Mytilus edulis: one gene and its partner. The protein of the gene in region 1 interacts with the protein of each later gene in a pairwise test. Links are inferred from orthologs where the notes say so. Each region holds a gene or a part of one and is shown on either strand. Other genes may lie near its edges. The genes, in order: kinesin heavy chain-like and kinesin light chain-like.

The links.
Region 2: the proteins of kinesin heavy chain-like (region 1) and kinesin light chain-like interact in binary tests that used the Drosophila melanogaster proteins (3 or more experiments, as listed by UniProt). The link is inferred for Mytilus edulis from reciprocal best matches to the Drosophila melanogaster genes Khc and Klc.

What each region holds. Positions count from the first base shown.
Region 1 is NC_092345.1:94,130,122-94,147,337, forward strand, and holds the start of kinesin heavy chain-like, read right to left. Parts: upstream 8,234-17,216; 5' UTR 7,872-8,233; coding exon 7,707-7,871; intron 5,706-7,706; coding exon 5,618-5,705; intron 135-5,617; coding exon 61-134; intron 1-60. Other genes in the region: beta-galactosidase-like, read left to right, coding at 11,996-12,064, 13,989-14,152, 14,565-14,715, 15,614-15,677, 16,892-16,986. UniProt on the Drosophila melanogaster protein: Kinesin is a microtubule-associated force-producing protein that may play a role in organelle transport. Milt and Miro form an essential protein complex that links Khc to mitochondria for light chain-independent, anterograde transport of mitochondria.
Region 2 is NC_092346.1:18,412,966-18,430,488, forward strand, and holds the start of kinesin light chain-like, read left to right. Parts: upstream 1-9,051; 5' UTR 9,052-9,346; intron 9,347-14,536; 5' UTR 14,537-14,554; coding exon 14,555-14,601; intron 14,602-17,523. Other genes in the region: eukaryotic translation initiation factor 5-like, read right to left, coding at 1,187-1,261. UniProt on the Drosophila melanogaster protein: Kinesin is a microtubule-associated force-producing protein that may play a role in organelle transport. The light chain may function in coupling of cargo to the heavy chain or in the modulation of its ATPase activity.

The DNA of each region.
Region 1 (17,216 bases):
AAAAGTACATTGTCAAAATTATATCCAGCTTATTGTATATGTTTATTTTATAGATCCTACCTCCATAGTGTGAGTTTTACCACTAGACGTCTGTCCATACGCAAATATTGTTCCATTGTAGCCTGCCAATACATCTGAAAAACAAATTGGTTGTATTAAAGATACTGAACAGAAAACAAGGAGAAGATATTTCCTAGACTTACAGGACTCATGTGCTTTTCTTGAAATATTATGCAGAAATATGTTTCTGTATATATATACCTTTGACCTCTTGTCCTCAATGCAAATAACAAACTGTATTATTTGTTTTATATTCTTATATCTCATATGAACAATTCAATGTATTTCACAGACTTTTATCAAGTGAACAGAATCTTCATTCAAATATTTGTAGTTATTGCCCTTGAAATATTTTATTTTATTTTCTGTGCACTAATACCAAATCACTTTCATGTGAAAACTGGACAATTTAATTTAATTGCCATATCAAACTTTTGGTCCCAAATCATAGTCGCACTTCAAATTGAACAGTTCTCACTTTATATAATTGTATAAATAAACCAATTTTTCAAGACGTTTCGGCCATTGGCCTTCTTCAGTTCTTTATTTTTCCTCTCAACTACATGGCTGACATTGCAAAAAAATAAAGAACTGAAGAAGGCCAATGGCCGAAACGTCTTGAAAAATTGGTTTATTTATACAATTATATATAGTATGTTCCCTATTGGAATTTTGAAAACAAGGAGTTCTCACTTTATCATTTAAAATATTGATTGTAAGTTGTGGATCTTTTTTTAATTTCACTTTTCTGTATAATTGTTTTGAAAACAAGAGTGCACACACTGAAATGTCTTGCCTTCTTTACCAACCACTGGCATTGATAATATGTCAATAGTCCAGAATATAAAGTTTTGCATCAACTATCACATAAACTTAAAAACAATTCAAGAAAATGAGGTCAAGGTCATATAAACCTAACAGAAATACATGTACAACTTACAATCATAATCATTCAATACACTAATTTTAGTTGACCTATTGCTTATCATGCTCATATTTTTTAAGAAACAGACAAAAAAAAAAATAAAGATCGACCAATCAACCATGAAAATGAGGTCAAGGTCAAATGAACTTGATCTGTGTTTTGCGGTAAGGCCATGGTTTTTTAATTTGTTGGTAAACGAATTTTTCTCATGAAATTAAAACCTCTGTTAAGTTACTATTAACATGTCCCTATCAGGTTGATTTAGAGTTATACTATACATATCTGTCTGCTATCCGAAACTCTATGTTGATTTCTAGATACAATTTATCATTTCTGGTTTTATTTTTAAAAAAATCCTCAGGAAGAAAATACTCTTCCCTTCAAACTCATCCCCTTTTCAGTGTTCTTACTATGATATTAAGCCCACAGTTAATAAAGCAATCAAGCCTGTTTTTATGTTAACCCTAATTAACATATATTAATAAACAATAGGCAGAAGGGTAAACATATGTTATTATTGGTATGTATATAATGTAAGAAAGGACTTATGACAAAACATCTGGCAGCTGTGTTATTCAAATCTGATCTGGAATGTATATTTTCTACACTGCACAAAATACACATTATTGTCTAATCAAATTGTAGCAGAACTTTCTCATTTATCAATATAAAACTCATTTAAATAGTTTTTACACATACATATTTCTCTCAAATAAATTTTCATTTATACAAAATGTATTTCTTACAATTTTTTAAGAGTCTTTACACAATTGCAAGATGACATAATAAAAGTATTATTGGGTATCCTGCATGTATAGTGTGTTAACATAAAACTACCTTTAATTGCTGATAGACACCCTCCTAAATTATTGAATTTTATCTATTTGCACTAACTTTAATATCTTAGTGTATATTAGATACACCCAATCATGCTAACACCCTCATGGATATATCTTATACATACTGACAGAAAAGATGAGAAGACAGCATAAAATTTTTTTTTTGATAAATTAAGAAAGTAGATAGAATTCAGAGTCAGAGAGAACCCAACCCTCTGCCCTCTTGTAATAACTGTCAAGATTCTTGTTATTCACTTATCAGTTACGTAAAAATAGTGAAATATGGTATTTTGGTTAATATCCAAATCGTCACACCCAATTATTGATTAATAAGTATGGACTTCCAGCCAGTATTTTTTATGGATGTTCAGCAGGTCTTTATAACAAATAGCAGTGACAAAAATAGATTTGAATAATAAATTAATATTATAAATAACTATCAATGAAAGTAAGTAATATATTCAATTGAAACACATTCTCTCTTGCCAAAAGTAACACCCTATCTGCTATTGTTTTGTATCTATTGATAGCTCATCAGTGAATGACGGAGGTACATAACAGGATATATTTATATTAGTAATTCTATCTCAAATCAAACCTCACCAAATTTTCTGTAGTTTTTAGGGGGATTTTTCTTCTTCAATGGAATAAAATAACATTTCAAAGTTCTGGGCTCTAGATAGTCTTCTTTAATTAAAATAAACCCTTAAGAAGTTACATCTAATTGAGAAGCAGAGATGAATGAAATCATTTAACAGCACTAATTGTTTTACGAGGGCAATATTTTATTGTAGACAATATAAAGCAGATTAAGATATTTCTTTTAGTATGCCTTGGAAGACGTTTGGTGTCATAAGTTGGCAAAATAAAAAAGCTATTTTATATAAAGAAGAATATTTTCCATACTTCACAACCGTCTTGCCAGGAATTCCTGGCAAAGTAAAAGATTATGTTATAGAAAAACAAAGAGATTTTACTATTTTCTTTCTTTATCTAAAAGAAAAAGGAGAACAAAAACATAATTTTGTTGCTACAGTGCAACCTACATAATCCAGCACCTAAGTATTCCAACATCCTGATTTAAAAGACACATTTTCATGGTCCGAACTATGCCTATGCTTAAAGAAATAAACTGAGTATTCAGACACCCTGCTTAATCCAACAATTTTTTCTGGCCACCCAGTGTGTCGGATAACACAGGTTAATACACTGTATTTAGATATATGTGAAAATCAAATATAAAGTGAAAATTTAAATATAGTTTTAATTCAAATTTTCAGATTGAAATTAAGAGTATTCTTAATCATTTCTTAGCTTTAGAGGCTATAGAGCTACATTAAAAATTGTGACAATGTTACATTATTGGTCTATGGACATCTTAGAAAACTCAGACATTACATATCCTTCAAATCCCTAAAAGGACATTGAAAGTTAAATGTACTAGGATTAACCTTGACTACATTCCTCACATCATTAAGTAACATCCTGCACATGACTCAGGTATTGATCTTAGAAAATCAATTAATCAGCTGATTCTAGGAAACATCTTTATATAACAAATATTATACATACTTTCACCAATTTTATTTTGAAATCAATACAATACCAGTTTTAATTAAGGAATGACTGTAATATTTTTTCTGTCTATGAAGAAATAACATAAAAATGTGGTGCACACTGAATAACACCACATTTTTTATGTTATTTCGAATAGACTGACAAAATATTAGTTATTTCTTATAATTTAATTTTCATTTCATTTTAAACCGGCGTAAATTATGAAAAAACGTTGATGACGTCATGGTCACATGACAAAATTGTGTCTATGATATGATAAACAAAACAATGTCAGCCAATCAGAAGACGTGTTACATCCAAAAATTAAATTATTGAGAGATAAACAAAACAATTAAATATCATATATCAACAAAACCATGTTCAAAATTAAAACAGTAGGCAAATGTCAGGTTCTTTTTCTAAATATTTGAATCAAATATGGTTTGAGGTTTAGGACTTATAATCATGAATATGACATTTTACTATTGTAATTCACAAATTACATAATAACATTTATATATAAGATAACAAAGGGCCTTTCAAACTCTCAGTGAAGACAGCTAACTAACACCAGTAGGAACCTTAAAAAACTTTACTTTTTTATCATGTACTTAGGAGTCATTTGTTGGGAAATATATTAACACCAATTCAAATGTCCTACATTACAACAACAATCAGTTCAGACAATTTTTTCAGGATACATATGTACAAACTGTTCTTTAGGGTACTATAGGATACAATATTTCATAACGACAATGATAAGCATCCAAATATACAGAAAACTCATCCTTTCAATCAATATTCTACCCAAATATTTTAACAGTGCAAATGGTAATGAATGTAATGAATCTTTAGTTAAGGGCAATTACTTGTATAAGGAGTCAATCTGGTTTTTTTTATTTAGTTATAGCAGCTTATTTTATGGCAACAAGGTAAAGATTGACAGTCTAGCATGTTTCCCCTGTTTGATTTTCTCTATTTATTATGGTTTAAAGAAATTATACAACTTACACATTTTACATTGTACCTGTATGTTTTAATTAAGATGCTTTGATATTATAAAACATGATAGTAAAATGATGTATATATAATTTTTTTTAAATATTTAAGGGCACGATTATCATGATTATGTTTACTTTCCCCTTTGGTCCACATGATTATTAAAATGACATAAATTGCCCTAAAACTTTAATACCAAAAATCCAATGAATTACTGTTTGGATCATAATACACATTGAACAGCTTAATATCAGACATCTATAAATCAATAATGTCTGCTGCAGCAAATTTATTGATTGTCAAGTTGGTGAATGCAAATTAGTACAAAGTAAACCTTATCTGTTTAAATTAAAGTGCAACATACAGTAATTTAAACATTAGTTAATTGATTTGACTTGATTAGTGATTACATGACACTTTTCACCCAACTGACATATAAAAGTGTATTTGGTGAACTCCATTTTAAAATAATATGCAGATTCATTCTACAACTACATGCATAATATATTTCTAATTTACAAGTATTGTTTTCATAAAAGTATGTTCCTCCCTAAATTAAATCCAAATCCCTAAATAAAGGTCTCAAAGCTATATGAATCATACTAATAATATATATATATATGAAGCATCAGATGATCCATAATATTCTTCTGACATCGGACTCAGACTTCTCTTGAACTGAATTTTAATGTGTGTATTGTTATACGTTTAATTTCTACATTGGCTAGAGGTATAGGGGAGGGTTGAGATCTTATAAACATGTTTAACCCTGCCGCAATTTTGCGCCTGTCCCAAGTCAGGAGCCTCTGGCCTTTGTCTTGTATGATGTCCATTATCACTGTACTAGTATACATATTTTTTAGGGGGCCAGCTGAAGAACGGCTACGGATACGGGAGTTTCTGGCTACATTGAAGACCCATTGGTGGCCTTTGGCTGTTGTCTGCTCTATGGTCGGGTTGTTATCGCTTTGATACATTCCCTATCTCCTTTCTCAATTTTATTCTGAATATAAACTTGCTTTTTTGTATACTGTTACATGCATGTTAATGTTACTTACATTTGTTTACTCAGAAAGGCAATTCAACAGGACATTCCAAGATTCATACCATTTAATGTGTTGTATCATTTACTTATGTACAGTAAAAGATACTCTCTCAGTTCAGTTGCCTATTAAAAGTATTTGCTCCTGTATCTTTAGGGAAAAGATAAATTATATAGAACAAACACATTACTTACCAGCGACAATCGTTTTAGCAGTTGTATTATATACATCTTCCTGGGAAACATTTGGTTGCAGTATTTTGTCAAAAATAAACAATTTTCCCTAAAAAAAAAATGTTAACTTAATCAATGAACAAGTATTTCAAATAATTAAAATTATATGCAACAGATAGTACAAATCAAATTCTGGTTTATTCTGTAATATATTATGTTAAATCTAGCTTTAATACATATACATACATGTATGATACAATACAAACAAAATGAGATCAGGATCCAGTAGGAACTGACGACTCCGTGGTAAAAACAGTTTAGAAAGGAAAACAACTACCACAAATGACTACATGAAGCAGCAAGCAACCAACAACTAAGGAATTACTGTAAAGCTACATTAACTTCCTAACTGTAGCAAATTCAAACTAGACAGTATGTGTCTCTTATTTCAAGATAAACAATAATTGTTGAATTGGTATTGTTATTATGCCAGTTCTGATTTTTTATCAACAATGACAAAATTTTTAAATGTATATTTATGATTTAGGTCATGAAAACAATTGTATAGAAATGATTAGATCCAGGAAACATTGATCAATGGCCAATCACTTTTAAACAATGTCTTTCTATTTGTATCCATCTGATGAGTTGAGCCTTTTTTAACTGACTTTCAAAGTTCGTTCTAAAAATTTTCAATTGACAATATCAGATGCATCAAATCATGAAAACAGAGTTTTTTGGGTTATATCAATCAGTTTTCTGGTTAAACCTGTGCTCGGAAGTTTTCACATAATCTAAGCTATTATTCTAGGTAATGGTGGTGGTGTGGTTGCTATGAAATAATATGCAAGGAAATCTTCATACAAATCATCGATCATTTAAAAAAAAATAGTTACAAAGGCATGAAGAACAGCAACTAATGTGCTGTCCTGTTACTTTTCATAAATTATATGCTGTTCGTGTACTAATTTTGTGTAATGGATGCATGGATGGATACCTTATATATTTTTCTATTATATATTACAAATTTATAGATTTTATTAGTATTGAAACTGGAGCTACAATGTATTTCAGGCAACAACTTTTACAAGCCCATAATTTTCAGTCCCTAATCACATCTGCTGACAACACTGTACTGTTTTATAAATAACAGGGCTTTCAATAGAATTAGAAGGCTGAAACTAAAAAATAACCAACATGCTGGTGGGGACGACAAAGGCTCTAGGTTATTTTAAAAGTAAAATCCTCCCTGCATTCTAGAAGTCTCCTGGCACAAAAATACAACTTTCAGATTGCCATGTTTTTGAATGAAGTTTTTATTTTTCATAAATTTTGTTTAAATTACATTATTAAAATTTTGAAGTATACCATATTAAATTACCAAGCTAGCAATGGGTAATGTCGCTATGTAAATGTTTAACCATCACACATGATGTGCAATTGTACACCAATTAAAAAGGACTTGTTGATTGCCCAATCAGGTTTTGTCTTACAAACAATTCTCGGAATGACAACAACTGGTAACTACTATTGTTGCACAACTCTTACGGAGAGACTGACACACATAAACAATAACACAACAATAATTTAAGGTTTAAAATAGAACTACGGTCAACATATCGATCTCATTTTTGTGTAATTTAAATAAAATACTTTAGGACAAAGAAGACTGCCAAATAGACAACTTTCGAGTTCTATGCATTTCTGTCAAAAAGTTTGGTTTAAGTGAACATCATTCGTGCGTATAGGGGAGTCTTCACTTCTGTTCAAATGTTGAGCAAGTGATTGGAAAACTATAAAGCTATATTACACAAACTATTCAGCAAATTGAATTCTCATAATAAGACTAAGACGCTTGATGAACGTTTATAGTGAAGGGATACAGGTGATCCCCTCTATCTGGTAAAAGACATCATAAAGGTGCGCATAATTGATGGACACCCTCGAAAGTGGTCTATTCCATGATCTTTCATGCTACATGTATAGACAAAATAGACGAAGGAAATCACAATACTGGCTTCTATTTAAAGCCCTAGTTTAAAGTTGAAGCTGTAGCATTTTCAAAAGAAAAAAAATTAAATATTCATTTTTGCATGTATAAATCACTTACATTTATATTTATAGAGTCATCTGTTGGAAACTTCAAGATAAACTTGCTGCCAACTTTTTCTTCAGAGGAATTTAATGGTCGGACCCTGCTAATAACTCTGATGCTGCATTCATCAGGAGTAGGCCCTGGTGGCCCTGGTGGAGCAGGTGACTGCTGTGTCGCCATTGTTTACGATACAAATTTAATTTGTAAACATCAATTTATAATGTAATGTATGTGAATCACACCATCATGAATATATCATGAGCTGAATAAACAGAAAATTAGCCAGTGAAAATGCAGTTGGAAAGAGTTACAAGAAAGATATCTTAAGCGAATTGGATATATCAATGAACTACTAAGCAGAAAATAGAGCAAAATGTATTAGGATGACACGGCGATCGCCTTGAACACACTATTTTTATAACGTCCGAACAAAATCTCCTCCTTCTTCCATCATTGCTGTTGAATGATGGGAAATGACGTTTGCGAGAAATCGAACTTCTCTAGACGTTTCTTTAATTCCATATAAAAGCTCGAAATTACCCGAATAAGATATTTCCCGCGGAATCTCTAATTTTAGCTTTGCAATGTTTGCGGACTAGATAAGATTAGATAGGAAAATTTATTTTAAATCGGGTTACACGAAATACTACAAACATAAGCTCTATAGAGCTTTTTCGTAGAGACAGCTTTATTGCATAAGTATAAGCAAAGTTCATATATATAAAAGCAAGCACGAATTAAACTAGATTATAAGCGTGACATGCAAAGAAGACAAATACATAAGCTTAACTAGTTCTAAAAGTAGAATGAACTTGAAACATAAAAAAAAATCAAATTGTCTATGTTTGTATATCTTGCCGACTCTAAATAAAGCTTATTCATTATTATTATTATGGTTCAGATTCGACTGCGCACATATCGCGTCAGGCAGCTCATTCCAGAGTGTACCGTACTTCCAACTTCCGAAGCAAGGTTGTCGGCTCGTTCTTGTATTTTTTTCAATATATTTTTTAGTGTTACCCTCCCCACAAAAATGCCAAACAACGGGACAATAGTTGAAATTTGACATAATATATGAATGATGATTAGTTAACCTTCCCAATTTAGATAGATGTTTCCCAATTCTTTTTAGTACATTTAACTGCCTTGATGCTTTTTTACAAATTTCAGAAATATGTGTTTTAAACTTGAGTTGATAATCTATTGTCACTCCCAGGAGCTTTACCTCAGTGTCACATGAAATTTCATTCTCATCAAAATTGAATTTAATATCCCCACTTTTAGATTTATAGCCAATGGCAATAGCTTGAAATTTATCCGGATTAGCTTTCATTTTGTTATTAGCAAACCAATCTATTAAAACTGCACTTTCCTTTCCCAAGATTTAACTAATCCGTTTATAGCTGGTCCTGAGTGTGACAATGTATTATTATCTGCATAGTTTTACAACTCATTTTCATTTACAAAATTGAAAATGTCGTTTATAAAAATTTTGAAAAGCACAGGACCCGATATTGACCCCTGCGGTACATCTTTATAAATGTTTTTCCAGGTGCTAAAATATGCAACCACTTTAACACATTGTTTTCTGTTCGACAGATAGTTGTCGTTAAGTTTAACGTCATCATTTGACTGGCCATATGCCTTCAACTTTAATAACAGTAACGGACTCTCAAAAAGTTTTTATAAATGAATAATAGAAAATACGGAAGTCAATATTTTCTAGAATAAGATATTTCCCGCTGAATCTCCAAGTTAATAATAGTTTGTTTGTTTGTTTAGACAAACAGAAACATATGTATATTGTATAATCATGGACTATTAGGGGTCTCAAGTTGGGGGGGTTCTGATCCCGGATCCCGTTTACTGTTTTGTCAGATTTCCGTATCCCGCTTACACTAAGTATGAAAGCAATAATATCTCATTTTTCCGCTAGACATCATTTCCCGTTTTCACGGCACAATCATTTGACTTTCACGTGTCACGCTTACAAAAAATCGGCAATACCGCGTCACGCTTAGACCCCAATGAGACCCACCTTTTATACTAATTTATAAATAATGAAAATACAGGGTTTTTTGTTTTTGTTAAGAATGTTCGTTCGGATCAAATTTCAACTATTTATTGATATATTTTGTATCTCAGGCTTCCAACATTTTCAGGACAGTGGCGGTGTAGCTAGCCGGTTTACCCCCCCCCCCCAACCCCACCCCCCCCCCCCCCCAAAAAAAGAAGGCCGGACATATATTGTACAAGTTTATGGTTGCACTGATGTATTCCTGATATGTTTGTGTACAAAATGATACATATGAGGGGGTCACATATAGAAAGAAACGAAGAACTTATTGATTATTAAATTAAACTTGTTAAAACACATTTTTGAGGGTATGATAACAGTTTCAGTGTTGTCGCATTTGACTTTTGTATATATATGAAAACTTAAATAGATGGTGACAAATTATTCGCAGCTAAATCATCAGCAAACCAGGATCTACAAAAAAAGGCTATTTCAAAGAAATAACGTGTGTGATAGTAAACTTGAAATATTCAAACGTCCTGAACATACCAAACTGACATATAACATAAGTCCTTGACCGAAATCGTTAATGTACTCTCTATAAGAGTTATTGTCGTGAAATACACACCTTTACCGTTGATTTTTTTTGTGCTTTTACCTTCACTCTAGTTTGAATATAGACCTATGTTAGATGAGAACGATATATATTTGATTTTTTTAGTATGATTATCTTGATCTATAAAGTTCTGTTTATTCTTTTACAATTTGGATATTAGTAAATTCCCTTTTTTCTCCTTAAAAGATTTGATGATAAAAAATATCATATCTACATTGTTTACCCTTTTGCCCGGATAGTTTATGATGTAAATAGCAGATATTGGAATAGTTTCAACATCCCTCATTCAGATCGAAACTATAAGTCAAACTCAGTTTTAAAAAAAGTCAAGCGCAGATATAAGTAAAGTGTTTTATTTTGGAAGGGACAACTGATGCCTTGTCAATCTAATTATAATTAAGATATTGATCTCTAATTTTGTTATACTATATATGACTGATATGTAGTTTAACGAAATCAGAGATCAATATTTTAATTAGATTGGATGCTTTGTAAAACCCTTAACTCTTATTCAAGCAATATCTCAATTAGTTTCTCTAATGCAAAAAGTTCTGTTTATCCTACATGAGCACATGCAGAAGTTTGACCTGGCCTGTTTTGGCTGAGATTTGTGTTGTTCAATATTACGGTCTTTTGTATTGTGTTTCGTTTTCTGTTATTTGTCTTTTCGTCGTATTTTCAGTCTTTTAATTTTGGTCATATTGTGCATCTGGGATATAAGACATATAATATTCTGTTGTTTTTTTTTGTACAAACCTATAGGATCTGATTTACATACATATAGGCCTACTTGAAGTAAACTATTCTCTTGTACACTTGGACACATAACTTTGTTGTAAAAAAATATGCATCTGTAATCCAAAGTGTTGACATTGTAGACAAAATCCGACAAGGTTGCATGTGTCAGAACACACTTTAAAGATTGAAAAGGGAAGATATCAGGGCAATCCTCGACACGAAATAGCTTGTCATAGATGCTTAGGTCTGAGGTTGAGATGGTTTTACTTCTTCTTTTTTTACCTCAATAAATAATTAGAGAAGCAAACAATTACAAATTTGTCCCAGGAAATGATATCCAACTTTGACATTTTAACTATTAAGGATCTATGATTTTTGTTGTTGATTTTTTTCTCCCTCAGAGCATTGGGACAAGTTGTACTAGAGGCTGCATATAAATCCAAGTAATGTTTGCGCTTATTTTTTTATTTCAACAATGTTTTTTGAGAGCCTGTATTTAGGCAACAGCTGCTTATCAGGACTAGATCATAAGTTTTTGAACATAAGTTTAAAGATGTATTGTAAAGTGCTTTAAACAATATCCGGCTTCGGTTTAGTTGCTTGAGTGTCCTTTAAGCAACTACAATATTTGTGCATATACACTAGCCTTGCGGAGGACTTCGCATTGCAACAGGTTAATATCACAGTTCCAGATCACCACTGATTCATATATATTTATATGAAAATTAGGGAATATAAAAAGCTGTTTTACTTTATATATTTATATATCTATATCAAATACAGGGACGAATTGTCAATAGGGTAGAATTGTCAATGCAGTAATAGGATATCGGTACACTTATATTAAATATTGGGTACGAATTGGTAAAGGTACGAGTTAACGTGTAACCAAGTCATATGATCTAATCACATGACTTCAACAAAACATTGAAAATGGCGACTTACATGTTTCGTCCAACTTTCACTTTCGTCTTTTTATTTATGATCATACATGCACTAAAGGTATTTGTTACACAAGTTAACTTATATTTTGGTTCAAAACATTTAAAATTTTAGATTAGTGTTCTCAAACATCTTTCAGAGGAGTGAAAACAAATTTTAATCAAATCAAATCAATACTCAATCTAACAAAATTCATGATCATTCATATATCAAATCAAATCAAATTTTTGGACCAAAGAGCCAGTGTGAGCTAATATGAGGCAGGCACTACCTGTAAATGGGGACGAAGTCTGTATGAATTATTTTTTTGTAACTTAAATATTTTGTTTAAAAAAAAAGAAACGGAAATACCGTAATGTTTCCGATTTTGGTTCTGTTGTAAGGGATTTAGTTGTGACGTCATTTAAATTATGACGTCATATGCAATGTAAACAAAGAAACGCTATCATCAGGTAACGTTTTTTCATATCAAGGAATTATTAAAAATGAAATTGGTATTGCACGTTCCTTCCTATTTTATACTAGACTGATAAATATATATTTTACTCAAAGTTTCATACAAACGAGACCGGAAAAAGGAAGTACATTGTACATTTCTGCGCAGGTCCAGGATTTCAAAACACGACAAAAAAAATTTGAACGATTTTGAGTTCATTAGTACAATGAAAAATTCGGGAAATTTTCCCGTATTTTTTTTTTATTGAATTTTCTACTGTTATTGGGGACTCCGTCCCCATATTAATTCAATAATTGTCATCAATTGTCATTGTCCTTGTCTGACAACAATTACAAATATCTTGCAAATAATTGATAGTTTTTATACAACTGCAAATTTTTTTGTGATCATATATTGGTATCACGTACATGACGTAGTCGTCCTCGTCCTCGTCGTCTGAAGACATTTGGTTTCCGGACAATAACTTTAGTATAAGTAAATAGAAATCTCTGAAATTTAAACACAAGGTTAATTATATCCACAAAAAGAAAGTTTGGATTGATTTTTGGGGTTATGCCTTATTGTCCCAACAATTTAGGAATTAAGAGGCCCAAATATGCTTTTTTCTAGTTCCAGACAATAAATTGTGTTGAAGTGTATGGATCTCTCTGAAATAATACCTCAAGTTTCCAGACTACAAACGGATGGTTAAGATTGGGTTTGGGGGGTTATGGTTCAAACTGTATATGAATTAGGGGCAAAAAAGGGGGAAAACAAGGGTTTCCTGGTTAATTGAGAATTAAGACAATTTTTGGATTACCTCCCTAACACTGCATTTAAATTATGTACAAAGAAATGTATTGTTTTGAGGTGATTAGCTGTCAATTTACTTTAAGAATTATGCTGATTAAGGAATATTAATATCAATGTTAATACTTTTATGATGTATTTAATGGGTAATTATGGTTGCAAACTCAAATGGAAATTTGAATTGAGATTATAACATTACTCGAGGGAAAGGAAAAGGGTGGGGGAGGTGAAAAAAATTGGGGGGGGGGGGGGGGGGGGGGAGAGAAGTTGTAGGGGCAATTTTTTTCAATTCAGATTTCAGAAATTTAAATGAAAATTTCTTCATATTTTTTTTTGTGCAAATATGCAACATCATAGTGTATTGCATAAAATTAAAAAAAAAAGTTTTTTTTAATTTTTATTTGAGAGGGGAGGAAAATTCACAACAGCATAGTGTATTGCACAAAAGCAAAAAATTGAGTATAAATTCAAATCATATTCATTAAATCAATTCAAGTTCTTCGACTTTATTCTGTGTCAGAAACCTATTATGTGTCAAATTTTTAATTACAATCCAAATTCAGACCTGTATCAAGCGTTAAATATTGTGTCCATTTTTGCCCCAACTGTTCAGGGTTGGACCCCTGCAGTCGTATCCAGCTGCACTCGGCAAAGCAATTTATTAACTGTAATGAATAGAATGAAATAACATCCACACTGTTATGAATTAGATTCTAATTAATTTTCCATTATATTCAGGCAAACAGAACGTTTACAATTGATTATGATAATGACATGTTCCGTATGGATGGCAAACCTTTCCGTTATATATCTGGCAGTATACATTATAGCAGGATACCTTCATATTACTGGAAAGACAGATTACAGAAAATGAAAGCTGCTGGCTTAAATGCTGTTCAAGTGTAGGTAGTCCATTAGACTTACATGACTTCAGGATGAATTTTTCTAAAATAAATATTAATACCAAAATGATCTATTTAATCTATACACAAGTATAAACTATGCTGACAGTCATCATCTATTATTACATTTTGTACTTACTGTATTACAAATTGAATCATCAGTTCAGCTCTGCTTTACATTGAAGATTAGGACAGGATGTCAGAATTAATGATTCCTTTTCATATTCAAACTATCTTGCAAACATCTTGGTACAATTAATTTAAGCAGTATCTATATTATAAACCAAAAAAATGTACAAATCCCCCCTCCTAAAGAATGAGTTGGTTTTCTGTAGATGATAATAGAATTTAAGCAAATTAAATGATACACATTTCTAGAAAAGAAATTTAAATGGGTTTTTTTAATTTCTAGATATGTACCTTGGAATTTCCATGAGATGGAGGAGAATGAATTGAATTTTGAAGGTGACAAAGATTTAGTTGGATTCATTAAGCAGGCACAGGAAGTTGACTTGTTTGTTGTACTTAGAGCAGGGCCATATATCTGTGGAGAATGGGACTTTGTAAGTTATTGTACTTTGAGCTGGATCTTTTTTTCTGATCAGAAAATCATTTTAAGATAAAGATATCAATCAATATATTTTAAAGAGGTCACATGGGTTTGGTTTCCTTGATTGAGGTACAGAGAGACCTTTGTTGGGAAGGAAGTTTAATTTGTTGGAATTCAATAATAGCCACCGGTAATTCATTAAAATTGTCAGGAATTTGGAGTTTTTATACCTTTGTGAGGCGGAAACTTACACATTATTTTCACAGAAATTCAGGATTTTACATTTATTTTCACAGGAGTTTTGGATGAGACTCCTACCGCCACTCTTTATTATGGTCTAATGATCAGTGTTTAGTTTTTCATCACTTGATAAGTTTCTCAGTAATTGCAAGTTCATGTATAGTCACCTGGCCTAGATCTCATTTTCATTGTTTTATATATTGACTTTATCTTCTTTATAAGGTAATTTTTCCTAAAAGCCACAAGTAAGTGATACTCTGGATATAAATTAAGTTTACATGTATAGATAATTCAGATAAAGATTTTTTAATGTCAGAGTAAATTAATGTTAAAAGTTGCAAAGGACTCACACAATTTTGGTATTTTGCAATTAAATAATAGTGAGAACCTGTAGATTTTCTTCCATGACTGGCAGTGAAAAATAGATTTGGAGAACTTTGGGAGACATTATAACAATGGGTAGAAATTTATATACCAATTGGTCATAGATAATTATTTTCTGTTAAGATGTCTGTATAAACTGTGTATTGGTCTTTTATCTAATAATTTGAATGGTCTCATGTGGTTGACATCTAAATTAGATATTACATATTTGTGAAATTCTATTGTTTTTATGTCCTACTATAAGAGAACAATGTATTATACTATAACTATTCTGTAATATATTTCAGGGTGGATTTCCTCCATACATATTAGCCAAGAATCCTAATACAATATTCCGCACCATGGATTCAAGTAAGTTATCCCAACAAAAGTCAACATTTTGTGTTTATAGGTACTGGAGTTGATTTCTCTTTTTTTCTGTTATCATTTTTATTTCTAGTATTAAAGATTTTTAAAACTTGAATAAATTTCTTGAATCTCTGTAGAATAACCAAAAAATTTGCAGTGTGTATGGCAGAAGTTTTTCCATTTCTCATTAATTTTATCATATGTATTTTAAAGACTTTTAAAACTATGTGAAAAATTCATGATTCTCACCAAAATAATAATTTGGTGCCAAAGGGAAAATAAAAACATGGAAAAAAGACAACACTGACAAAAAGAAGTAAGAAACAACAGTTAAGATATATTTGTTTTTCCATTTTTTCTGCAGATTTTTCATTTCATGAAAGATTGAAAAATTCATCAGACTTCTTAGTATTTTTTAATGTTATCACAATACAAAGATTTCCAACTCCCAAGTTTTAAAATGCTGTAACTTTCTTAATAATGCTTGAAAACTTATAATAGTGGTAGTTATCAATAGCTAACAGATTACTCTTTTAAATTAATGCAATGTTAGTATTATACAACAGTTATGTAACCAATTATAATGTTAAATGTGTCTAAAATATTTTTCACCAAATTTCCACTTTCAATTGAAATTAGCTTCTGCATAGGTATTCCTAGAGGGTTGATTTTATTACATGTTGTTCCTATGGCCATTATCTACAAAAAGGTGTCTCAGATTTTAGATAGAATGTATAGAACAAATTTTACACCTAATTGAACATTATCTTCTTTTATGTGGTAAGGATGTTTACACTAAATAGAGATTTATGAGAGAATGAAATACCATAGGGACAATTTGAGACACCCTTTTGAAGCCCATGATGTGTTGATTAAGATTTCGTTAAAATTTTCTGTATAGTTAAAGAGATGACAGAGCTAAATTCATTCAAGTGAACTGACCAAGATGTTGCCCCTTATTACATAATAATTGATTACATAATAACTGCATAATAACAATATTGCATTCATTTAAAAGATTAATCTTTTATCTATCTATATGTACCTCTTTTATTATTTTATATGCATTCATAAGAAAGTTACACCATTTTAAAGGTTAGTGATTGGAAGTAAAAAAATCTTTGTATTGTGCTACCTTATATAGAAGCATCTACCAAATAATGTCTTTTTTTAAAATTTATTCATTGTATATAATGATAACTTTTTCAATTTACTAGCCTATATAAAGTATGTAGACAAATGGTTAGATGTGTTGTATCCAATGTTAAAACCTTTGCTGTACATAAATGGTGGGCCAGTGTTAATGGTTCAGGTATGTAAAGTATATAGACAAATGGTTAGATGTGTTGTATTCAATGTTAAAACCTTTGCTGTTCATAAATGGTGGGCCAGTGTTAATGGTTCAGGTATGTAAAGTATGTAGACAAATGGTTAGATGTGTTGTATCCAATGTTAAAACCTTTGCTGTACATAAATGGTGGGCCAGTGTTAATGGTTCAGGTATGTAAAGTATATAAACAAATGGTTAGATGTGTTGTATCC
Region 2 (17,523 bases), on another chromosome or scaffold:
AATTTTATAATTTAAAACTTGTTTCTTCATTTTATTTTGTGTACACTACATATGTTATGCTCACTCTTGTACTTATCTTAGTCTATTTTGTGTTTCAATTTCAATAATGAGATATTCATTTGAATCAATCCCATAAAAACTTTTTCATTTGTGTACTTCTTTGGTTGTTTAAGTTTACATTTTAGCACAGTATTGCCATTCACTCAAATCAGTTTTGTATTTGAAAACATTTTACTGTCTGGCCATTCACATCTGCAATATGCTGTTTATTCAGAAACAAAGACCTTTATTTATAATAATACAAAGTGAATGTGACTGAATTTTGATTATATTCATAATAATAATACTTATATTTCCCTTCTTTTTTCTGTAGTGTATTTAAGGGAAATAGAGTTACAACAAGGATAAATTTGATAAGGCAGAGAAAAAAAAGATCGATGTTTCCAGTAACCCGACCGACCCTGTTTTTTAGCCCCGACCCTAACTTTTTTATTGGATCTTCAAAAAAAATAATTAAAAAATTGTATCAACCGACCCCGTTTTTGACACAGGCTTCTGATAGATGACATAATATTTTTTCTCTCTTGCTTCTACTTGCATAGAAAGCCAGTAAAACATTTTATTAATGTCAAAAGGTATTCCAAATAGGTTAAAATCCAAGAAATTTGCACAGCAGGTGCTTCAAAAACATTGCAAATGGCACACTTCCGGTTTTTGAAACTAATTACGGATCCGGACTTGGAAAAACCATGATAATTTTCCAGATTTCATTTACGATGTCAAAAAAAAAAAAGAATTCCGACCTACCGACCCTATTTTTCAAAATGATGTTACCGGAAACATATCTTTTTTTTTAGGCCTAAGAATTATCACAATAAACAAATAAGTTAAAACATTTATTTTCTCAATTGCAAATGTCAGGGTTTGAAATTAGCAGGCGCACTTGCCAATGGCCCCTAAAATTTGGTGTTGGCTACTTGAATATCTGCTTTTCATGTACAGGACTATATATGTGGGCTACAAAATTTAAGCTGTGGGTTACAATTGCCAGTCTTAAATTCAATCCCTGATTGGGCTCTTGTTTATCACAAGAATTTTTTGGGGTTGCAAATATGGTGGAACAATCCTAATTGATAAGTTTTGGTCACGAAAGAGCCTAGAAAAATATACAATCCAGTTTCTTTACCTTGGCTATGATCCTAGGCATCTTATAACGGTAGAACGGGTCATTAATGTCGCTGTTGATGTTGATACTAGCCATAATGATATTAAATCTTTTATACTGTTTTTACCACTCCCCGTATAATATAAATGACAACAAAATCTTTGGAAATTCATAAAACTCAATAAGTGACTAATAGTCCGATTGTGTTCTTGTGGTTCAATTCTTCTCGAGTGCCACGGCAATGGCCCTGAAAAAATAATAAGAAAATGTGTTTCACAAAAGCTGAAATAAGAGTGGTTAGATACAGGTTCGAATAGTATTTTATAATGCAGAGCTCAAATTGTAAATATTGTGCAATAAAGCATCTCCCAGTAAAGGAGCCAGTCTTAACAAAAAGACAAGTCAAGGTTGTAAGAATATTTCAAAGTGCTTTTCTCTTGGCCTAAAAGGGCAATTGACTTATAACTCTGCGATGTCAAAGGGATAAAATTTTACACTGGCCTTATCTCATTCGGAAACATGAATCCTTGTTCAGACATTCAACTATACTTGACGTAAGAGCAGCAAATATCAATTTGAAAGTCTTCAGTACATTGACCATCCTGTAGGGGATACGTAATTCCCACAACTTCATGCACATTAAAAAATTATCAAGATTATCATCCAAAGATACGCCATAACAATCAAGTGGAACAAATTATGAAAATAAAAATTCAAAGACCAGTTTTAAAACTTGTCTCTAGTGATTTGTTTGTAGGAGACCTGATGTTTAGCAAGCCAACTCCATGACAATATACAAATGTACCTTTTACTTTATTCCATGTTTGCCATATGGACACATTCAGTCAAGGTTGTTAAGTTGCCAATCAAAATTGCCATATACATGTAGTATGAAACAATAATTTTATGGAATGTGGAATAAATTGTCGACATTTCCCATGTTTCACACTAACTGTTTTATTTTTACCAAAAGGTTAAAAAAATATTTCAAGTACAGAAATAACAACTCAATTATCATATTAAAATTCCAAACATCTTGATTACTCTTGACAGTGTTGAAAGATTATTAAACAAAATGTTTCAAATATTTAATAACAGGTGTGGTGAGTTGGAAATAAATATTAGAAACTCTGTATTATTCCACAAGGTAAGATAATGTTTTCACAAGGTCTTGCTGTCTGCTACGTGTCAGCCAATCCCATTCCATAATCTGCCCACGTGTTACACAACTGTACAGTATGGCGCAATATTGTGACATCTCACCAACTTTCTGTTTCAATAAAATAATTAAACACATAATAAACTTCATAATTATTTAAAATAAACTTACTGTCTAGGCGCAAAAACTTCATACGACTAATGATTGCTGAGGTAATGAAAATCTGGCGTTTTGCCTGGGAACTAGCAACTCCCAAATATGTCAGCAAAAATTCCGTTAATCTGCTTCCCGTGGAATACCAGAATCTGAAAAACAAAAGAAAACAATGTAAAGTTTGTGTTGACGAATTATGAGTATCAAAGAATAACATATTCCAAAGTTTTAGACGAAAATTTGTTCGTAGACCACAACCGACCTTCAGTGAGTTCTGGTTGCGCTGATAATGAAATTACCCGGATGACGTTGATGTAATGTGTTCGACTGGTATTTATTGGATTATCTATAGAGCTGAGAACACAGTTTTACAGTTGTGGGTACCAGCCATTAAGTCGAAAGAATGTGGTATGATTAAACGAAAGATTTTTTTTGTATCATTTAAGAGGGGGAGGGATGTACGTCACATATCAGGATGCTTTAAGGGCATACGATACAGTTTTGATCCTGTATTTACAAGTTGATGAAAATTTTCATATAGGCTATTTTAAACCTGATCAAATCAAATATGTTAAAAAAAATATACCTTCATGTGCTACTTTTTGAGTAAATTGGAATTCAAATTTCAGATATTTCCTTAAAATACGGATGTGTGGACATATTTTTCCTTTCGATAGAAATACATAACTTTTATGTTTTAAAAGATAAACACGATCTGTTTTTTGTTAAATTATTTGTAATTTGTGTGTTATATAAATATTGCATAAATTTGTACATTTTATTTTTACAAACTTATCAAATGATCATGAATGTAGGAAAAAACCGTAATTTTTGGATGTATATTTATCTAATTTTAAAAAATTGCACTATTTACGTTTTCGTGAAAATTGGTACACATAATCTTCTTCCGTAATCAAACCAAATGTCATTTTTAAAAATAGGGGTCCATGAACTCGTTTTCAAGTTAAATCAGTTTGAATGCTAAAAAATAGCCGAAAACTGCATCTTTTTCCGATAAGTCACCGTTTGACGTCGCGAAAATAACAATTTACGTTAGCAACGTCATTACCTCCCCTGTAACTGTATCGTATGCCCTTAATGCAAAACTTATATGATACAACAATATAGAAGTAAATTATTTTTTATATCGATTCAGGAACCGCTAGTGGGATTCTACGTTATTAATTGTCGCTACTAAAAAACAATTATTTGTATAGTTACAAATCCTTGTAAAACCCCTTAAAATGAATTACAAGTTTGAGTATAATTATGCTGCAGTGGCTATTTTTCATGCAACACGGTTATTATTTCAAAAGCAACTTTGATTCTAACTTTGTTGATTTTGAAGGTATGTGATTGATTTTGTTAGATTGTATCATGTTTAATCAAAATGATATGATATCGGAGATTTTCAACTTTTGTTTTTTACAACATATCCTCGTCTCATTCGTTTTCGTTGTCATTTAGAATGCATTGTGACGTCTCAATTCCCATTGAAAAACGGCATGCATAGTCACGAATTCATATGACATTCGAAAACATATGATCTGTGACAGAGACCGTGATATATAATACAATTATATATGTCGCTGATACAGCCGTTAAATAAATGAGATTTTATTCTTAATGCATACATGTAGCATTATTGTGTGACTGATTTTGAACTATGTACTGATTTGATTTTATTCCTACAAATGAATGGCTCAGTTTTTTATTTTTATTTTTTCAAATTTTGTTTTCACTAGTTTTACTCATAACTGATCAGAAATGTTTTAAATGCTTATTGCCGTGAAAATGTCTCTCAAATATTGTAACTGTTATCTAATTTAAATATATGAGTATTAATTTGATCCTTTTATGTTAACAATCACCATTTCTTTATACTTTTCAAAAGTAAATACCAAAATTCACTCTTATAAAAGAACCGACAAACTATCAAATTCACCGTAATGCGTTTATTGTCGACGCTGGCTAAATAGCTATTGTCTATAAAAATAGTTTTGTTTTAACTTTGCCGGCTTCCAATCAATTGCGATATTTTAATCAGAGCCGGTAAACTGGTATTGCATATATTTTTATATTTTGCCGGTGCCGGAAAATAGCGGCATGCATGCACTCAGGCCGCCTAAAATTTATATTTAACTGTTGTGTCCCAGTGCCTAGCTTGATTTCAAATTCCAACTAAACTCGGAGGCAGAAGAGATGCGAGATGAGATGTGATATGATTGCCAATTGTTGTCACTAAATGACGAACATATGTTAATTCACCGACTGGCTCGTAATGCTGCAAGCTTACTTGAGAAGCAACAACACCCATTTCAAAGTCTTTGGTTTGACCCGGCCTAGAACGAGGCCCCTCATGCGGGGGGGGGGGGGGGGGGTCCTAGTAATCACATAATCACCATTTTTTTGCCAATATAATCACATAATCATTAAATATTTGCTTATCTTTAGTAATCAAATAATCATAAACTAAAAATACAGTCCTAGGTAATCAAATAATCATGAAATATTTGGCTTAATAATCAAATAATCATTAAAAAAAACGGCCAAGTAATCACATAATCAAAAACCCCATGAGGGCCCTCTAGAACCAATGATCTCCCGCACTAGAGGTGAACATACAACCACGAGACCAACCGATTATCGTGTGTGTGTGTCTGTTTCTTCTGAACAATTCAAGGGTTTGGCTTGGTTTTAATTTGTTGCATGCATAATGACATGTCTGGCGATTGAGCTTCTGTACAAATTTAACATGCTTACAAGTGGTATTTTTCCAAAAATACTTTATTATATTCTAGACACCGGTATTTTTGGCATGTAATACCCCTTGTAAGCATGATGCCTTTGTATGATTGTTTAATTCCACCGAATGCTCTTTGTATATCCATCTTAATTAACCAGTCAGAAGTATAATTATAATTAGGTATCATATGGAGTTTCTGCTTGACTGTATAATTTTTGAATGTGTAAGTGGTTCAGCTATATATATAGTTGTTGTTGTAAATACTGTCCAATAATCCTGTTTGTAAAATAAACTGTAAATAGCATAGTAGCAAACTTGAATTGTATGATAGGATGGATTCCTTTAATCAAAGGAAATAACCAATGACCAAGCTGGGCCACATTTCTTACTTCATCAGGCCAAACAGTTAGCCGTATGACAAACTCAAATGCATGACACGAAATTCTAGCACAATCTGATTTCCTGAGATGACTAACAATACCAATAGTATGCTTTTAAAATTATTATAAATTAACAAAAATAACCTTCAATATACTTGTCTATATGCTAGAACAACAATAAATATTTAAAGTTAAAATTCTTTGTTATTTGTACTTCCTATCATAATTTCCTTGGCTGTCAGAGGGTTGCTGCTCACAAGGAAGCTATATAAAACCAAGAGTTCTAAATGGTTAATTTTACGGACGCCATCACGAGTTGGTTGGCCGTTACACAGATGATCGGATATAATCCTTACGTATATATATATATATATATATATATATATATATATATAGTAACTATACACTCCCTTTCCCTTTTCACGAAGGTATCCCACAGAATTAGACTATTAACCGGGTTTGTTATAACATGAGCAACACAACTGGTGCCAGATGTGTGCATGATCTGCATCAGTGCTAAAACTTCCAAAGCATCTGAGATCACCACCAGTACTATTATAGTACTATTATTTAGATATAGGAAGATATGGTTGAGTGCCAATGAGACAACTCTCTAAGTAACAATTTATAAAAATAAATCATTATAGGTCGAGGTACGGCCTTCAACACGGAGCTATGGCTCACACCGAACAGCAAACTATAAAGGGCTGAAATATTAATAATGTAAAACCATTTAAACGAGAAAAATAACGGTCTAATCTATAAAAAAAATTATAAAAATCTATAAAAAAAATATTTGTCTGTTTGTCTTTTTCTTTCTTAGCCATGGCGTTTTCAGATTATTTTTGATATAAATATTACACCGAATTCGCTGGATACATTTGGTCATAAAAATAATTAACAGGGCGTTTAGGTATGTTAAAATGAGACCACAAACAAGCAATGCAAAAAGAAAAGAAACATTTTCACTGAGAAAAGCATACGATCTTGCGCAATGTATAAAATGGATAAGTGTCGAAATCATGTTGGACCATAACTTTGAGTGTCTATAACGGTACAACAATACATTTCAGAAGTTTACAGCCAATTTCATTGAATGTGTAGCTACAGGGAATATATTTGGTTAGCTTGCTTGCCAGCTGAACCGTGAAGTCATTATTAGGTAAGGTATACAACCCTCTTTTTGAAGTAACCTAGTCCTACATACACGATAGATTGGTTATCTGTCTCTATCGGACTAGTCTACTCTTAAAGGATGGTAGTTTACTGTGACCTAAAGATATTACTTTTAGCTATACACTCAATGAAATGGGCTGTAAAATGTTATTACAGATATAGACAATAATCAAATATATTTCCACAGTATTGTGTCTTGTATTGATAGCCACTTGTTGAAGGCCGTACGGTGACCTATAGTTGATAAATTCTGTGTCATTTTGGTCTCTTTTGGAGAGTTGTCTCATTGGCAATTATACCATATTTTCTTTTCTTCTTTTTTTTTTTTTTTTATATTAAAGTACAAAGGATCAATACGTGTACATGGTTGAATTAATCTATAATATATAAGTTCATGAGCTCTAAAACCAAACACGGGATTTTATATTTTTCTGCAATTAAAGCAAAAATTCACACAAGGACAGAATTTGTGTAACAGCATTTTATGTATGGTGACGAAAGCGCTGACTTGATATGCAGTGCATGATACCAAAGATATTATTGTATTATATGTATCTGATGATACATAGATGACTTTCATTTAAAATTCATCTTTTAAATTGTACAATTTTTGTATACCTCGCAGCAACAGCACGACCAACTAACTATACATGATGCCAACAAATTGAAAGAGCTGTTAACACTTGCATCATGCACTAATGTGTACCATCCGGGGACAGTTCCGGTCGGGTTCGTGATGTTTTAGATCTCTACGAAGTGTTCTTGTGAGTGCTATGTGCTATAAAATTTAATCAGAAAATATAATTTAGACCTAAAGTTTTTTGTTCGAATGATCCGTACGGTTTTTAAATATTATTTTCTGACTTTATGGATAACAAAATAAAATAAATTTCTTAATTATTGGCATACCGTAGTAAATGTGAATACATCAAGTTAAACAATGGCTAAGTCGGTTTTGGACAATGACAAAAGTCATAGACGACCCTCGAAGACATAAAATTCTGGTAATTATAATGTATTACTTTTTACAATTATAACTGTAAAAATGTTACAAGGATGTGTATTTACCATACAAATCATTGGTCTCTGCAAAAATTAGAGGAGCCGTTTTTGTTCGAGCTATCGGGTCGATCCGGCCCCACGTCGATCCGGCCCAAGTCGATCCGTCCCACGTCGATCCGGCCCATATATTTGTAAAGTCGATCCGACCCCAATAAAAAATATTTTTTCTTCCGTGGGATAGTATACACGATTCTTACGGGACCACTGGCTGGGGCAACTGATCAAACATATTCTACCTATAGTATTCAAGAAATACGACAGAGCAACTGACTATCATATTTAAAACAAATATAAACAAGTGACACAATACGTTATTATTAACACATAACACTTACAACCACAGATGAAGAAAAAACAAAAACAAAAAAGGAAAGCATAACAACCATACTGTATTTTTCTTTTATTACAAATTAGATGCAAAAGTATAAGTCAAAAACCAAAGTCTCGAAAACGAAAATTCTCAATCCCTTATAGAAGTTAAAAACAATAATTAATTTTATTAATTTTATTTATATTTAGATTTATTAAATTAAGTTTAAACTAGTATAGGTTAATAAGGCGCACCACCTATAAACAAAGATAGTCTATGATGTTACCTGAAAAAAAAATACAATTAATTATTATTTAAATGCAACCAACCAGAAGATCAAACTATAACATGTATAAAAAACTTGTTGATTACGTAACTTTAATTAATCAGGATTTGATTGATTTAAGTGATTACGAGTGGCATTACCTTAGTTCACAATCATCAGATAATTGTTGAATAAACAAACCAATTATATATTAAAATATATCTATAGTTCTTTAACTGGTACTCCAATACTTCACTAACTTCCTGATGTCATCCACCATCGGACACTTTTTGCAAATTCTATTTATACTGTTAAAAATTGTCACAAATTCCCCCAAAATCAATATAGTTTATTCATATTTTATTATGGGGCCGGATCGACGTTGGCCGGATTGACTTGGGGCCGGATCGGTTTGGGGCCGGAACGACCGGATACCTTTTCGATTGATGATTTTACAATAAATGTTCAACGGCATTATTAAATCTTACTGTATTTTTTTTCTTCCAATAACCTCAATTAAGATCTTTTACTTATTTTGTATTCTTGGAACTGAACATTTTACGATGATTATAAATATAACCAGAGATTCTAGTCCTGAGTGATTTTTTTTATAAATTTCAGAATAAAATCTGTCTTTTATCAAAACCAGTTATTCATGAAAACGGCCATGTTACTTGTGTGGGGAGTGAAGTTGTACACATAAACACTATATTTTGCTGTTATAGCTCTACTAAAATTTAAATACACAGACAGACATTATAAATTTAAGCTTTGCTAAAACACCACTGCACATGGCCGAAAACATTGGTGCCGACGTTGATTTGCAACTTAGAATACCCACCAACTGTCAAGTCTGACAGGAAAGTCCAGCTCAACAAGATGTATAGATTTTGTAATTTTTAATAGTAATACATATCTGAAAATTTTAAGGTAATTAACATATTTCAGGACAATATTCTCAATAAGTATTTATTTCTATATCCACTTAGCTTAGACGTTAACTTAAGCATGCTAAGTTGACATGTTATGCCTCCAAGTACAATCGGCTCTAGCCTCTACTATGAAAACCTGTTTTATTTTTAGGGCAATGTAGACTTGTGCAAACCACCCCACCCTTTCAGGCCATGCAGAACAGTATCTGTGGAACTGTAGCTCTAAGGTCCTTATTCTTTTTGATAAGTTGCAGGTGTCAAAAATACCTGAGTGTTCGGGAATCAGGGGTATCAGGTCCGTTCGCGCCCAATACAGTTTCGCACCCTACATGTTCGCATCTCGCAGGTTCACTCCCAGGTCCGTTCGCACCCAATTTTAAATAAAATTCCTGTTGAATAGTTAGAAAATCAAGATTGTTTTTTTAGTTGATTTGATGTAAAAACTGCATGTATTTAGCATGTTTAGCTGGGTATGAGTAAAAACATTGAAGATTTTAAATGAAAAACACAAAAGATTTTAACAGCTTGGCCCTTTTGATCTGAAACAATGAAACAAAAAATCATAGCAATGCACTAGAACCAAAACTTGATTAAAATTTATTCAACACAAAAAAAAAAATATGTTGTCATAGTCTCACTTTATTTTGAAACAATGAAATAAAAGTGAGCAATACACTTAACCAAAACAAGATTAAGATTTATTAAACACACAAAAAAAACCACATTGTCTCAATCTAATTTAGGACAATGATAACAAATACAGTAACACTTACAGTAATACACTTGCCAAAGCTTGATTTATACAAAGTTATCAAACACAAAACCAATAAAAATGGGGCGTGAACGTGTAGGGTTCAAAACTGAAAGGGGGCGAACGTGATAGTGTGCGAACAGACTCGGATTCAGAATTGGGTCAAGGAATCTAGATACCAAGTAAAATCTGCATCATCACAATTTGGCATGAGTGAAAGATATTTAACACATGTAAAAGACAGTTGAACTTGAAATCTAGACTTATCATGCTTATCGACACCTTGTAATGCCTACTAATGGTACTTTTTGTACTTTTATATTCCACTGGGCGGGCATGTTAATCTTTCAGACCTTATTGTTAACAGTGGCCTGGTAATGATGTGGGTTTTCTTTGATTTAATTCATGTGTTCCATCAGGAAGTCATACATCTTTATTTTTGTCAATATTTGGATGAATGAAATCTAGTATGTTAGTATGATCAGGATTACATTATGAGTTAGTAATCAATTGCTTTTTTTTATGCCCCACCTACGATAGTAGAGGGGCATTATGTTTTCTGGTCTGTGCCTCTGTTCGTTCGTTCGTCCGTTTGTTCGTTCGTCCGTCCATTCGTTCGTTCGTCCGACTTCAGGTTAAAGTTTTTGGTCAAGGTAGTTTTTGATGAAGTTGAAGTCCAATCCACTTGAAACTTAGTACACATGTTCCCCATGATATGATCTTTCTAATTTTAATGCCAAATTATAGTTTTGACCCCAATTTCATGGTTAACTGATCATAGATAATGAAAGTGCGAAGTTCAGGTTGAAGTTTTTGGTCAAGGTAGTTTTTGATGAAGTTAAAGTCACAACTACTTGAAACTTAGTACACATGTTCCCTATGATATGATCTTTCTAATTTTAATTCCAAATTAAAGTTTTGACCCAAATTTCACGGTCCACTGAACATGGAAAATTATAGTGCGAGTGGGGCATCCGTGTACTATGGACACATTCTTGTTTAATCATAACTTGGAGATGAAGATGTTTATGGCAAATTCTTTTATCAAATATCATCATACATGCAACATTTTGTATTTTAATGTATATATACTAATCATAATATTTGTGCATCATGAAATAATGATAAAAATACATGACTTCGCACATTTATTCTATTAACTTCATCTAACAGTTCAATTTAATAAAAATAGTAATAAGACACAAACAATATACGAAATTTAAATTAATCTTATAATTAATTGCTTAGAAGAAGCATACTTGAGAAAAACACATTTTAAAATTATTGTCAAATGTTCAAGTATACATCATTTGTACATTGCTGGTACACTAATAATTGCAACACATGCTAATTCATTTCTTACCTTTATTTCCTAACCCTGAATATATATGAAACGATTGTTTAATTTGACTAATCCCTACCTATTGCCTTTACATTTATGTAATAGGTGCCCTAATTTAAAACTTAAAAGTGTAGTTTCCACACAGATCTTTCTAAGAGTGCCCTTTTAAAAGCTGCAGGTAACATTACTTTTGCCTCTGCCTATTCAGTTGAATTCAATCATTAAAGTTTGATGCATAGTGCCTATACATGTACTGTCCAACAAGCATGCTCACTGATAAATGTATCATGTGGATGTTGACATAATTATTTTTTTTCTCTTAATTTTATAACATGTAGAATGGGCCTGATAATGCATAGTACATGTACATTTTTTGGCATTTATCTGATTTTTTTATAAATCATGATCGCTGCATTGCAATTTGGGCAATTATATACACAAATGATATAAACAGGTACATTCAAAATGTTTAAAATACTGCAAAAATTTGCAACAGGTTACATTGTACATGTAGGTTTTGCAAATAAGAAAAGCTTGTATTTCATTAAATTTTGACAATATGCAGCATTTCCTAAAATTCTAATTTATGACACTTGTTCGACAATCGGAATAATAATTGCACACAAACATTTCTGAATTTACAATATTTGAATGCTATTTGCATGTTATTTTGTTCAGCATATACATGTATATCATAAATATGTTTAGATTCTGATATTACAACATGTAGTAGTGAAAGGATACAGAATTCTGTTCATTATACCCCCGCTTTAAAAAAGGGGGGGTATACTGTTTTACCTCTGTCTGTCCGTCCGTCCGTCAGTCCGTCTGTCCGTCCGTCAGTCAGTCCGTCCCATGAAACTTTCGTCACATTTTTCTCAGGAACTACAATACATGGATTTCTGAAATTTGGTTTCAGGGTTTAACTAAGTCAGCTATACCGTGTGATGCGTTTTCAGATTCATCACTCAACAACTTCCTGTTTACCGAACACTATTAATATTATCCACTTGCGGGTTTCGCAGTTTCACTTGTTTTATTTGTCATAATCCAACCTAAATATCTCTGTCCATGCCAATGGAAAGCATCAATTAATTATGATCATTGATGATTTATGATCAGTATATAATCAGTATTTATAAGGGAAACACGACACAGTACCAACTAAAACATGATTGATTTTTGGCCATGGTGAGTCCAACAGTGATACTCAGATAAGAAGAAACTTTATTGTTGTATAACTAAATAATTTATTATTTTAGACTTCAAAACATAGTAGATCAAGAAAATGTCATTTAATTGAAATTTCTCTGAAACATTTGATATAATATGATGCTATATGTACATGCATGTAGTCACGGTTTATACAATATTATAAAATCTGAATTTATGCCTCTTTAGACTCGTAGTATTAATGAAAATGACGAGTCAAGACGGTTTTTCTTGAGTATGAGTATAGGACAGTCTCATGGACTCGGCGCCTTAGTCAGACCTCTGCATGCAGGTTAATCTGATTTTAGAATCTAAATTTTAGAAGTGATGTTTGAGCCATCAAGTTTGACATATTTGTGAATGGGTAGATATCTGTTTTCTAAACATGCTAAAAGGATCTTGTTTTTGATTTCTTTCAAATCTTATTTCTTGGTTGGTTTGGATACAAAAATTTTCAAGGATTGTCGTGATTTTTGTCGACCCTGCAACTTTTGTTGCAGAAAGCTCGACATAGGATAGTGATCCGGCGGCGGCGTTAGCTTACTTCTTAAAAGGTTTATATTTAAGAAGGTGAAAGACCTGGATGCTTCATACTTTGTATATAGATGCCTTATGTTACGAAGTTTCCGTCAGTCACATGTCCAATGTCCTTGACCTCATTTTCATGGTTCAGTGACCACTTGAAAAAAAAGTTCAGAATTTTTGTAATGTTGAATTCTCTCTTATTATAAGTAATAGGATAACTATATTTGGTATGTGCGTACCTTGCAAGGTCCTCATGCCCGTCAGACAGTTTTCACTTGACCTCGACCTTATTTCATGGATCAGTAGACAAGGTTAAGTTTTGGTGGTCAAGTCCATATCTCAGATACTATAAGCAATAGGGCTAGTATATTTGGTGTATGGAAGGACTGGAAGGTGTACATGTCCAACTGGCAGGTGTCATCTGACCTTGACCTCATTTTCATGGTTCAGTGGTTATAGTTAAGTTTTTGTGTTTTGGTCTGTTTTTCTCATACTTTATGCAATAGGTCTACTATATTTGTTGTATGGAATGATTGTAAGTGTACATGTCTAGCGGGCAGATGTCATCTGACCTTGACCACATTTTCATGGTTCAGTGCTGAAAGTTAAGTTTTTAAGTTTTGGTCTTTTTATCTAATATTATATGCCAAAGGTCAACTATATTTGGTGCATGGGAATATATTATGATTTATATGTCAGTCCCGCAGGTTTTATTTGACCATGACCTCAATTGCACGGTTCATTGCACAGTGTTAAGTTTTTGTGTTTTGGTCTATTTTTCTTAAATTATAAGTAGTAGGTCAACTATATTTGTTGTATGGAAGCTTTGTTAGCTGTACATGTCTGCCTGGCATGGTTCATCTGACCTTGACCTCATTTTCATGGTTCATTGGTCTTTGTTAAGCTATCTTGGTTAATGTTAAGTTTATGTGACAGTTGTAATAAAGCTTTATACTTAGGACTATCAACATAATATCAATGATTAGTAAAGAAGGCGAGACATTTCAGTGTGTGCACTCTTGTTTATTATCTTTTCTTAGATGTTGGACATGTTAGAGAGTTAAATAAAAACATCCATATTTATTACAAATTATTGTGAACTTAAGGGTCAATGTTTTAATTTTTTGATTTGAATTGAAATATTTAAGTGTAGGACTGAAGAAAAGTAAGAAAGATAATATTTTTTATAAATTTGTGAAATATTTAGATAAAATTCATATCTTAAAGCATGTTAGCACTGTTTATAGATACATTTTATGTTATTATAGAATGATTATGTTGTTAAATGGTTTGTTCTGTTTGAATGTACATGTACAATGTATCAATGCATGGTTTTAAGTGATTTTGTTAATTTTCAGATTTTAATTGCATGTAGCATGGAGTCGTCAAAAGGTTCACCAGAAGCTGTTACAGAAGACAGGGGGTAAATAACTTTATGTATTTTATTTAACATCAGCACTACGACAGCAGTCTTCATGCTGAACCACAGGCCCAGCAGCCCAGGCTTTTAAAATTTCTCTAGGGCCTGTAAAAATCATCTCTACATGCCAACATAAGTTAATTATAAAATTTTAAAAAATAAGTTTCGAGCCTGTAGATTTCAGAATGTTCAGTGTGAAGACTTACAGCATGAAGAAAAATACTAAAGAATAATGAACAAATTGATAATCATATGATTGTTTTAATCAACTATCACAAAATCTGATATAATAAAGTGGTTGCAGCAACAGGTTTTGAATAAATCCTTACATTCGTTTGGAACAATCATTATGAGAATGGCTCATCTTTCCGGGGATTAATGAGAGGGCTAGGTTTATTACCCATACCTTTTTAGTTTGTTACAGCATGTCTATAAAAGCATGCAAAGCAAACATTTGATCAACTTGCTTGCTATGATTGTTTGGATGTTTGTAAACAACAGGTAGGTAGTCTGTTTCAGTCTGTTTACTATATACTGGAGTAACTGGACTTTGATTGGACAATATTACCATTGATCAGTGTTTGGTTAAGTTTTGAGGTTGAGTATTCTACTAACTATCAAGCAAAGTACATTTTGTACATGTACATTTTTTGTAAGTCAACAATATTTATACATGTCGATAATCGATTGTTTTTATGAGGACTACATTCTGCATGTGTGACAAATATGTTTTATGTGTATGTCATGTACCTAAATTTGATGCTCAAGTTTTCCAGGTTGCACGTCTATTCCTCAATAACTTTACAGGAAGGTTAATGATATTTGCTATACAAAATATTACATGGATACATGTATGTTGCGAGGAGTATTCATTGATTCTCTTGGTACTGATAATTTTAGCAGTAAATTGATAACATGTTTATGACTACCTTCTCCAATGTTAAAACTGATTCTTTTCTTTCTTTTACAAATTTTAGAGACAAAATTCGCCGTTTTAGAATCTAATGCATTATGGGTAATTTAAAAAAAAGCGTAAACAAAACGTTGTGTGATTGGTTAAGAATGCTCTAAACAATGGAAATCCATCCAATGACGTAACATTATTTTCATTTTGGTGTAATAACAATGAGATTACCCATAGTCCTTTATATTATGAAAAGGCGGATTGGTCAGAAATACCTTTGTCATTAAGAGAACCGCTTTGTAAATGGTGAAATTGATGAGTCCTTGTGATTCACATTTACATCTTTTTTAAAAATCATTAACCTTTTTAAACTTTATAAAAATTTTGGAAACTTTAACAATACTTATAAATTGACTTACTTAAGCTTGCCACTGTGGTTAAACTATGGAAATACTTTTCAAAAAATCATGAGATAGCATAATGATACTGAGCAACACTAATACATTTTCTTTGTTTTATTGTTAAGTTGGTTTAGTTTTTTGGCTGTCAATGATCAATGTTACACTTTTACCATGACAGCGCTCAGGCAAGACATAGGGTTCTGTGGTATCCTTTATGCAAATTCATGCCTTATGCCCCACCTTCTATAGGAGAGGGGCATTATATTTTCTGGTCTGTGGTTCTGTTTGTTTGTTCGTCCGTCCATCCATCCATCCATCCTTCTGGCCCGCTTCAGGTTAAAGTTTTGGCTGAAGTAGTTTTTAATGAAGTTGTAGTCCGATCAAATTGAAACTTAGTGTGCATGTTCCCTATGATATGATCTTTTTGATTTAAATGCCAAATTAGAATTTTGACCGCAATTTCATGGTCCACTGAACATAGAAATAATAGTGCCCACTTCAGGGTAAATTAGATTTTTTACCCTTATATAGACAATAATAGTGCATTGGCTTAAAAAAAATCAACGATATAAAACAGGGAAATGCGAGGCTATGCAGAGCTTTTCCCCTATTTCGGGCCGAATTCTTATATCGTTGATATGTCAAGTCAATGCACTATTATTGTCTTTATACTGCAATCTAAAAGAGTACATTTTCAATTGTTGTTAAGTGTGTATATGTTATTATTTGATTTAACTATTGGGAAACTTCCCCCTTTTATAAAAGGCCTCATATCATGCAGGCGGAGAAATGTACAGCACAATGAAATGTACATCTACCTGTTGAAACCTGCAATTTATGATGAACAAGTTTATTTGAGAATGAACTAAAATATCAACAATAAGCATAAAACATAATGATATATAGCTTGCAAACCAAAAATATTAACATGAAGTCAATGCAAGTGAAATATGTTTTTTTTCTTCTAAAAAATGCAAAGGTAACAAGTTTGATTCGTTGTATACATTGGAAACAAGAACAGGTTGAATAGGTCCTATGAATAATTAATTATAATTTCGGCAATTTCTATTTAAATATTCATGAGAAAAAGTGATATCAGGTCAGTGACTGTATATGACATAGAAATATACAGTCAACACATTTTGACTGCTCAAATAGAACGAGTGTAGAATAAAACAGGATCTACTGAACATAGAAAATTATAGTGCGAGTGGGGCATCCGCAGAGGCGGATTTATATAGTTTTTAAGGGGGCCCACTCCCTCCTTTTCTGCGAAAAATTTGGTTGCTTATATAGGGAATCACTGAAGCATGATTGGATCGCGCTCCCTCTTAGGCAGTCAGTGGGCCCCCAAGCTATTCTTTTGAAAGCATTACAAATAGCTTGCCCTTTGTTTTTATTTGGTAATATCAGAGATACTTTTCAACTTGACTCTTTTTGATTTCTTATCATTGCTAATGTAAATTGAGTTATTTCCCATTAATTTGAATCTGTTATAATTAGTTACAAAATCCATGTCAAATCTTACAACATATTTTGGAAAAATCTTTTTTATGTATATTTCAATGTTTATTTCTGTCTTGTCCATAGCAACAGTTCCTCGTAGGATGAATGTTGTGT